Linked DNA regions of Saccharomyces cerevisiae S288C. Changing the gene in region 3 together with the main gene of any one other region gives a genetic interaction. Each region holds a gene or a part of one and is shown on either strand. Other genes may lie near its edges. The genes, in order: CTK2, CAK1 and BUR2.

Region 1 (3,283 bases), on a different chromosome or scaffold from region 3:
ATGAGGACACTTTCCTTCGTAAAGTGCTTGGCACGTTATCAGCCAAGTGATTAGATAAAGTGGAGTCTTTAGAAGGTTTCCTATTAGCAGGTGCAGGATTTACCGTTGAAAGGGAAAGGTTAGCAACTTTACTTTCCTTTCCTGACTTATTGCCATCGTGACTGTTTGACCCTGAAAACCTTTTGAATAGGGTTTCCGCTAATGATGGCTTCCTATTGGGAAAAAACTGAACATGATGATGATCATGATGACCGTCATGATGGTTATGAGTAGATGTGTAGTTGTGCGTCTTGGATGAATTCAAAGCGTAACCGTGGTCTTTATTATCATCATGAGTACTATTCGCGCTCGTCATTGAAAGACTGCTCAATGTTTTCTTCAGTAAATATGGACCCCTTTTGATTTTCGGTTCTGTCGGCCTTGGATGTTCCACGTTCGAAATACTTACATCATCCATACCATTTGGAGTGATACTCTCCCTGCTTTTGGTCATAGAAAGCGACCGTGGGCTGTAATAACTATATGCGCTATTCCTTCTTGATTTGTGACCACTATTTTGTTCGTGACGCTTCTTGACTTTTGGTACCTCATCATGAATGCTTCTATCGTTTGCTTCCGTAGGTGAGCTCTGCTCTATCTGTTGTTCTTGTTCTTCCTGTCGCTGAGGGCCAGAAATTTCCGAACCAGTATCAGGTTTTGATGACATTTCGACCTAGGGATTTCGTTTGCTGTTGCTTTAGCTCGTTTCGCAATGGTTAGCGACAATAGTAAAGATATGCTATTTTTGGTTGTGAACTGCAGCAAGAGGTCTCCTTATGCTTTCTCTCCTCTGTTACTATACTTCCCAGCTGTCTTTACTGAACTTTGGAAGAAAATACACTTTTTTAGAGTCGCTTTTCTTATGGTAAGTCCCCCCTGCTTTCCTTCCAAAATACAAAAAAAAAAAAAAAAAAAAAGTAAGAAAAAGGAAGTGAAAAAATAAGGTTATGATTGAATATTTAGGTTTGATAGAGGAGAAAGTAAGGAAGGTCTCAGTTCAGTCTGCCATTCCAATTTGAAACATAGAATTTCAGTGATTAACAATGCAATTGAACAATTGAACACAGAGAAGAAGAAGAACGAGAACTGACTCTAAATCTGGCATTTTATCCTTTTTTATGGCTATTTACATTGGGAGCTAGGCGAAATGCATATTTGTTTACTTTCTGGCATTTACAAAATCATTTTTTAAAGGGTATGACCTACTCTAATGCGCTTTTCTGTAGAACAACGCAGGGAACGGTATTTGATGTTTTCAATGATGTATGACTTATATAACATCTATTTCCTAGGATTTTTAAATAAGATGGAGGGTTGGCCGAGTGGTCTAAGGCGGCAGACTTAAGATCTGTTGGACGGTTGTCCGCGCGAGTTCGAACCTCGCATCCTTCAGTATTTTTTGTCCTTATCTTTTTGCTGCACCGAAAGCACTCATGAAGTCTACGGCTTGATGCACACCGTTTGGGAACCTTTGCGATCCCACGTACCTAAATGGTCCTTTTCGGTACAACTTGCTGAAGAATCACTGTGTGGCGGGTAATGCTCTCTTTATACTTGCATTGCGAAAATCCGCGATGATCAAAAATCCAAACAAGTACTGTCCTGAAAGCCGTCTTTATACACATAGATATATATATATATATATATATATCTGTATCTATAGAGCGAGAGGAGATATAGAGCCAGCAAAACTAAGAAAATTACGTACTTTGATATGCCTAGCACGTTTGAATCCCAGCTTTTTTTTTCGAGACCGTTTCTGTCTAAAAGGCAAATTCAAAGAGCCCAAAAGAATACAATATCGGACTATCGAAATTACAACCAGAAAAAACTTGCCGTGTTCAAATTTCTAAGTGACTTGTGTGTTCAGCTGAAATTTCCACGGAAGACTTTAGAAACAGCAGTATACTTTTACCAAAGATACCACCTCTTTAATCGCTTCGAGACCGAGGTTTGCTACACTGTAGCGACAAGCTGCCTGACTTTGGGCTGTAAAGAAGTTGAGACAATTAAAAAAACAAATGATATATGTACTTTGTCATTACGATTGAGGAATGTGGTTAAAATCAATACGGACATTTTGGAAAATTTTAAAAAAAGGGTATTTCAAATAGAACTTCGGATATTAGAGTCATGCTCATTCGATTATAGAGTCAACAATTACGTTCATATTGATGAATATGTTATAAAAATTGGTAGGGAGCTATCCTTTGATTATAAGTTGTGCAATCTGGCTTGGGTAATTGCTTATGATGCTTTGAAGCTAGAAACTATTTTAGTCATACCCCAACATTCCATTGCATTGGCCATTTTGAAAATAGCATATGAATTACTAGATAATAAGAATTGGTCAAGTAAAAGGTATTCTTTATTTGAAACAGACGAGAAATCCGTAAATGAAGCTTATTTTGATATAGTCAATTTTTACATCAATTCATTCGATATGTGCGATCTACAACGTCATTTACCGGCTGATTTGCTGCCGATTGGCGTTGAAAGGTTTATGGAACTGAAAAAAAACGCAGGACCAGAATCTGGATTGCCGCAAATACCAGATCACCTGTTGAATGCCGATCCTTATATCACTATTACTAGAGATAATAATGTCCAAGAAAGAAGATATGTACTTTCACTGGAGCTAATTAATGGCGAGTCCAGCATAAATAGTTCTACAAGACATGCATAGAAAGTCCTACTATAAACTTAAATAAGATCATCATTATAAACTTTCTTTTACACAAGTAATAAGTACCTTTTTTTATCTCAAAACATGAATGTTGAGCTTCGAGGTTTAATTCACAAAAAAAGAAAATGTGCTCCAGGGGAGGTTCGAACTCTCGACCTTCAGATTATGAGACTGACGCTCTTCCTACTGAGCTACTGAAGCATACAAAGGATGTTGGGGAAGAAAAACAAACTTTACATCAAATATTTGCGGATTCCATGGTTATTAAAGGATATAGCACCGGGTATACAGGACATACTAGAAGTTCTCCAGGGGATCTTGTAATCCACAAAAGAGAATTGATATTTTCACATAATATTGTCATTATTGTTTCCCCAATTTATATGATATCATTCATTATTCTGTTACACTATCAGTCCTGGCATTTCAGCATCTATTAAATCTGATGACTGTTTTCTCAATCTTCATGCCATCTTGGTACATCGTACATGATAATATATTAGTAATATGAATACTATTCGATAGATTATAGTTGATCCTCATTAGGACATCTATCGT
Region 2 (3,463 bases), on a different chromosome or scaffold from region 3:
CTCCAGCGGGTCTTTCTATCTCGCTATGCAGTAGCAGATTCATGGATTATGCACTCAACGACAGCAAAAATGGTCATGTACATGGGTATTTTTCCTCGTTGAGAAGATGGACACCAATAATGGAAAATTATGAGGCTGGTAAAGGAGCTTATTTTGCAACCCCACCCGTACAACTAATTAATAGCCTTGATGTAGCCTTGAAAGAAATTCTCGAAGAGGGGTTGCATAAGAGATGGGATTTGCACCGTGAAATGAGTGATTGGTTTAAAGACAGTTTGGTTAATGGCTTGCAATTGACATCCGTCAGTAGGTATCCTTCTAACATGTCTGCGCACGGGTTGACAGCCGTATACGTAGCAGATCCTCCTGATGTCATTGCTTTTTTAAAGTCACACGGTGTAGTCATTGCCGGAGGTATTCACAAGGACATCGGACCCAAGTATATCCGTATTGGACATATGGGTGTGACCGCTTGCAACAAGAATTTACCGTACATGAAGAACTGCTTCGACTTAATAAAACTAGCTCTTCAGAGGAAAAAGTGATTACCCTCGTACTTTTCATTTCATATATATATATATATATATATATGTACCTATATATTCTTCTTATTATGGCTTTTCTAATTCTTGCAAGATTCTTTGACAGCTCCATCTTTCGTTTGGTGAAAATGAAACCATCCCCAGGATACAATTAATGAACTTCTGCTTGACTTTGACATCCGCAATCTCGTCCAGTCGAGGCATATTCCTCTCAACAATGCTAATCTGTACATCTTTCTCCTGGTCCAGTACATACTTGCCATCGCCATCTGCACCAAACATACCAACAAATGCATCAACCGAGCCGTGTTGCGCAACCTCTTCCCATTTCTGAATGGACGGTATGCCCAACTTTTCGAATATTGAGCAAATCAGTCTGAAATCGCTTCCATCTGAGTTCATGTCGTCGCTGCCGTCATCAATCATGGCCGGAACGTGCCCCATACGGCTTGTTTCTCTCTGGAACCACTGAGAAATAATTATCAACAACGACCACACGTCCACGCCACCATCATAGCATTTTACTCCAAAAAGCACTTCTGGGGCCTTGTAAATTCCTGTGCTTATATCCGTCACCTTGCTATCCATGGGTTCCGCACTTGTTTGTGAGTTATTTGCCATGTCATAAGAGATGCCAAAATCAATTATGTACAACTTTGGGGATACGGTGCTGGTATTGTTTGTTAGCATGATATTTTGCGGTTTGATGTCGCGGTGAATGATCTTGTTCTCATGTAAGAATGCAATCCCTTCAACCATTTGCCGGAAAAAGGACAAAGAATACCGATTGACGTCCAATTGATTAGTATATTTCTGAACGGGGGGGTCCGCAACAATTGGGATACTGGGATTTAGCAAATCGTAATAGGGATTTTTTTTTCTTCTATCTCTTTTATAGTGCATTTGCATGAACTCATAAAGGTTCATCTCTTCAAAGGGAAACAACAACAATAGGTCATTATTATCGGTAGCCTTAGACTCTAGAAGAGGTAAGATGTGCTTACATTTGTTGCCCAGTTTGTTTAATATCGATACTTCGAATTTGGCGTTATGTGGCGGGATATCGAAATCTAGTGCTAGACATTTAATGGCATATGTATCCGACCTATAAATCCTAGCAGTTCTAGTAGATTTGACCAACTGACAGTGTGTAATGTCTATACTATCCAGTTTCATTAAGATGGGCGTGAATTTTGTTGCCTCTCTTCTTCATCTGGCCTCTTTGCTTCTATGAGACTTCTGTCGTTTTCCTTTTTTTAGGATCACAAACTACTTCTATAACTTAAATAGTCAAATCACATTTTCCACTAAGATACATATTTTCTATACAGGGGGTCTTTGCAGTTATATATACTCAGTTATATACCAATCTCTTTGTCAGGAATTTGATTATCACGTTTCAACCATTCTAGTGCTAATGGATGCAAACTATTCACTTTACTAATAACAACCTTATTGTTGTCATTTTCAAAGGCCACTTGTCCATTAACTTTAGCATTGACCACTTCAGAGAACTCTACGTCTTTCTGATAATCTAAATTATCCACAATCTTACCTGATTTCATATGGTATACTTGGTTAGGCCATTTGGCCAAGCCGTCAAAAATATGTGTAGCGTAGACCACTGAGCATCTTCTGGTTTCGGTCTCCCACTTTAAAAACTCCAGAAGTCTTGCTCTGGCAATAACATCGAGATCCACAGTGACCTCATCAAGTAGTAAAACTCTCCAAGGTTTCAAGAGCCCCATGGCTAACTGAACTCTTCTCTTTTGTCCATCACTTAACCTGTGCATTCTCCAACGTACATCGATGTCCAGGATTCTAACCAATCTTTCACCTCTTTCCCTAAAATGATCGAATCCAATACTTTTTAATAGTTCCAAGACGCCGATATCCCTATTAATGATACTCATATGGCACCATTCCGTACCTAGATAAGTGGTCGTTTGGTAGTTCGTCGAATCTTCAACACTTTCATCATCGTCCACTTGATTCATAGATAATGGACTGAATGGATCAAGACCATTGACCAGGATTTTTCCATCAAGGCAAAGATGCTTACCGCTTAGTAATTTCAAAAGGGTGGATTTACCAGCACCATTGGCACCCACAACTAAAGATCTTGTATTCCATGGGATTTGAAGATTGATATCAACAACTGACGGATCGGAGCTTTCTTTGAATTTGTACGTTAGGTTACGCACCTCAATAGCAAATTGGGAAACCATCTTGAGAGTTATCTAATATCTTGATATCTTATGCAGGAGTACTGGTTTTCTCCATACTAAAAATCTCTCTTTCAGAATTTTCGTTTTTTCTTATTTGAGTCATCCTCGAAGAAATTTCCGCAGCGAATTTTAAAGAAGCACTTTATAATAATACCTTACATATGAGTTTGTTTCTATGTCATGGGTATATAAGGTATATTGTATGCTATCTAGTTGGATGCCCCAGTTTCAAAATGTCCCTAATCGGATCCACCCAGATGTGACTAACGTGGTGCAAATTTATATTTATATGTGATAAGTCTTTCAACTTTGTGGAGATCATGTAACGTAGATTGAGTACTAAACTCAACGACCTTGTAGTCCGTAATTGGTACAGGATAGCTACAATCCCGATAAGTAAAGAAATTTTGCTCCACCTGTTATATTTGGAGGGTAAAAAATGGCCAAGTCTTTGGACCAACGCCCTTGTCTTGGATCTGGCGGCGACACCATGATACTTTTCTTCCTTGTAATGCTCGTTCATCTTTGTTTGTTCGCTCAAATAGAAGATAATGGTGCTCATATCGAAGCATCCTGGCTTTCCACATGCTGTATTGAGTAATGCACTATATTTATTAAGACTCACCCGTTTCAAAGCCTTCTTGCTGGCAGTAGTCGCATCTTTTCTAGTTATTTGCAAGACTTCTTCCCAAA
Region 3 (3,605 bases):
TTACCTTACAAGCCATCCAAATTGATAAGAATTTTCGTCTACAAGCATCCGGAACAAAAGCAAGATCTTGGTCAAGAAATAGCATTGCCCAACTGGAATACCCCTTATCTTCGAAGATGAAAAAAAAATTTATCAATTAGTCTATAATATATGTGTATATACGTCTATGCACCTACCTACTTATAAATGGATATAATATTCTTGCAATGATGAAAATATGTATAGTCAAATTTCATTTTTTTCAATTGATAAATGTACTTTCAATGATGGAAACTCCTTCATCGTCATCGAATTTAGACTTCTGGCAGAATTGGTAAATGAATGGCTTCATGTTTGCCAGATTTTCAGCAATAGACCTAATGAAAGCGGGCAGCTCACTCATTATATCGTACCTATTGACTAATCTTAAATTAGATTCTTCAAAACCACGCGGAAATGAAATGGATGTAGGATATTTCCAACCATTTTGCTTATCCTCTTTTGTAGATGGAAATTTAACAGCATGATCATTTACACTTGACCCGACCTCCAAAATTTTGTCCTTATCACTAACCGCCCATATAGTCACTGTAGTGCTGCCATATTCTTTTGTTGTGGTGAATTCAATACACATCATCGAACGCTTCTCACCATTGAAACAAAGAAAATTCCATTTACTAGCCGCCTTATTGGGTATTAGCCCCTGGACAGCATCCAGATACAACATAGGCGTGTCCTTCAAGTCCAGCTTCACAGGTTTATCGTTTTTCTTGTATGAGATGGTACCATTGCAAAAACCTCTAGGAACAAAAACATGTCTTATCATTTTTCTGGACGTACTAGAAGAGTCTCTTTTTGCTAACTCTTCCAAGCTGATGCTCTTGTCAAGGTAATAATTGGAACCGTCCGGGTTTATTATGAATCCTTCTTGTAAATTTACGGTAATGTCAACCTTCAAATCTTTTAGTAAACAGCTTGTACTTCCCTTCGGAATATCTATCTTAATTAATAATTGAGCAAATCCACTGGAGGAAGAATTTTCCAAAGGTACGAAGTGAAACGTAACATTGTCCGATTCAACTTTTAACGTATCAAAATCTTTGATATTATCAATTTTAAAGCTTTCCCATATATCAATGTCTTCTTCAGAGTTTTCCTCACTGCTGGCTTTAAATATTTTGAAATTTAACTGAAAACCTTTGTATATACCGCCCATAACACTGGAATATAATAGTTGAATTAATCCACATTTGCCGTTGGTGAGATCCGTAAAATACAGAGTTTGTGTCTCTATTCTTGTTTCCGTTGGATTTCTTACTGCTTTTAATAAACTATGTGACTTGAACTTTTTGTGATTTGACGTCCTGCAAAACCATTCTAGTTTCGATGTATCCTGAAATTTAGTATAATTAGCATGATCCTTCTCGGATAAAACTTCCTTAACGGGGGCAAATTTCGTCTTCTCCTTTTTGATCGCAACCGCCATTTTTTCTTTGCTCTATGATTTTTATGTTAATTAAACTGTTCGTTGCCCTAAAATTTTGAAAATTTCTCGAATATTTAGAGAGAATCCGTCACTATTTTAGTATCTATCTTGTCTATTTATATATAAAATCTCATTCCCCTGTTATGGTTTTTGCCAAGCCCTATCCCAAAAAACCAAATGATACATGATAAACCTATTTATCCTCTTTAACAGACCTATCGTTTAAAGCTTTTTTATTGCAAACCCTATTCATTATGGCTTTTTGACCTAGGTCTCATTGTGACTTCTATTTTTCACTGTTCAGTAAAAAAAGAAAAGTGATTAAAAAGTATCACTATTTCTGTTAGAAAGCAAGTAGCTATTTTGATTGGTAATTATATACACATATTGAAGGAGGCCGTAGTATTTTCGTTTAAAATATATTACAGTAAGATAATGTCTGCTACATCTTCAAGTGGTGACGTGAAAAAATTTCAAGCTGTACCAAAACCAACGAGCAATGCATCACCACCACCAGCATCGAGTGGGTTTAACGCAAGGACCCTATGGCCGGATTTGATAGAAACACCAGAAAACCAGTGGGTTTTTGAGTGCAAAGATATTATTGAAAAGATAGGCACTAATGGACCGATAGCAGTGGAAATAAAAAAAAATATGGAAAAATGCTTAATGTACTTTTACACACTTAAAAAAAAATTAAATCTTTTTGATCACACCTATACGGCATCATGCATTCTATTTTACAGGTATTGGTTCATATATGGAATACCTACAGCCATAACTGAATGTATTCATATATCACAGGGAATTCTGGTCACCGCTTGCAAAACAATGGAGAATAATAGGCCTATAGAGGCCTATATTAAGGCGACTTGTGAGTTTTTGATGCAAAATATACCGTCTTTAAAAAGTCGAACAAATATTGATAAACTTAAATGGGAATTTAGAGATAAGTTAGTGACGAATGAAAAAAAAATACTATGTTTATTTGGCTTTGACTTAAATATCAGTAATCCAAAAGAATTGATTGAAGAAGTGTTCAGTGGCTATTATAGATTCAACAGGGATCACAATCTGCCAGAAAACTTTAAAAAAGCTTTTCCAAAAATTCTTCAAGAATCAAGAAATTTTATGGTCCAAGCTGTCACCCAGCCAGTTTCTTTATTGTGCGACGGTTATACGTTCATTGTACTATCTCTCATATACTGTGGTTTAGAGTATAAAAAGCTTGTAGACAAAGATTTCAGATATCCGAAAAACTTCTTCAAGGATAGATTCCCTATCGAAGTAACGCCGGAAAATTTTGCCAATATCTTTACCGATTACAAGTTACTGGAAGAGAATTTTTTCAACTTAAAAAGTAATAAAGGTGCTAAATTACAAATTGATTCAAGCATGATTGATTCGGTGATTGACGAAAGTGGCGATGTGGAAAATGAAGTTTCAGAAATCTCTGATCCGTTTAACTACGAGTTGATTAAATCCGGTGAGGTGAAGGAAGAGTTTTTGAATCATATTGAAACAAGGGTTAAAGATTTACTAGATAAGGCTAAACAAGAAAGTATGAAGAGAAAGGCTAAAGATCCTATAAGAACCCCAGATGCCAAAAAACCTAAAATATAAAAATAGAGTACAAGTTATGTTTAATTGGAGGGATCAGTAAAGGTTTGATATATACGTGACAAAATGTCCGGCAAGTTCCCTATGTTATCCTGATAGCAATATTTCCAATACTCAATCCAATGATCATCTGTTTCTGGATCTTTAGGTGAGTCAAAGCGCAGTTTCTGCTTCAATTTTGTTTTCATCTTGTCTATTATTATTCTGGGATGTCTGAATTGGTAAGTTCGGGGATGATAATCGTCCAGAGATTCTGAACAGTCATTATCTTCGGATATTTTTTCAGCAACAAGTAATTTCCCCTCCATAGCAGTCAACAGTACCTTAGGTAGTTGGTAGTCAGTTACTTCATCAGGATTGTCACAAGCATCAATAATATTTTCGATGATACATAAGCATTCTATGGTCAATTTATCCATTTCAGATGATGCTTCGAATGTGTATTCATTATCTTGCATATAGTATAGTTTTAATACATAAAAAAACTGGATAACTTTAAATTGAACACCTGATGAAAGTA

What was found.
Region 1: mutations in BUR2 (region 3) and CTK2 are lethal when combined (synthetic lethality), as found in Saccharomyces cerevisiae (one study listed by BioGRID).
Region 2: mutations in BUR2 (region 3) and CAK1 impair growth when combined (synthetic growth defect), as found in Saccharomyces cerevisiae (one study listed by BioGRID).

What each region holds. Positions count from the first base shown.
Region 1 is NC_001142.9:422,580-425,862, reverse strand, and holds CTK2 (Ctk2p), read left to right. Parts: upstream 1-1,753; coding exon 1,754-2,725; downstream 2,726-3,283. Other genes in the region: CYR1 (adenylate cyclase), read right to left, coding at 1-706; YJL007C (uncharacterized protein), read left to right, coding at 2,851-3,165. UniProt on the Saccharomyces cerevisiae protein: Cyclin subunit of the CTDK-I complex, which hyperphosphorylates the C-terminal heptapeptide repeat domain (CTD) of the largest RNA polymerase II subunit.
Region 2 is NC_001138.5:77,444-80,906, forward strand, and holds CAK1 (cyclin-dependent protein kinase-activating kinase CAK1), read right to left. Parts: upstream 1,719-3,463; coding exon 612-1,718; downstream 1-611. Other genes in the region: AGX1 (alanine--glyoxylate transaminase), read left to right, coding at 1-545; putative ATP-binding cassette family ATPase CAF16, read right to left, coding at 1,901-2,770; GTPase-activating protein GYP8, read right to left, coding at 2,976-3,463.
Region 3 is NC_001144.5:587,454-591,058, forward strand, and holds BUR2 (Bur2p), read left to right. Parts: upstream 1-1,900; coding exon 1,901-3,088; downstream 3,089-3,605. Other genes in the region: UCC1 (Ucc1p), read left to right, coding at 1-120; YLR225C (uncharacterized protein), read right to left, coding at 242-1,465; ADY4 (Ady4p), read right to left, coding at 3,109-3,605. UniProt on the Saccharomyces cerevisiae protein: Component of the BUR kinase complex involved in transcription regulation.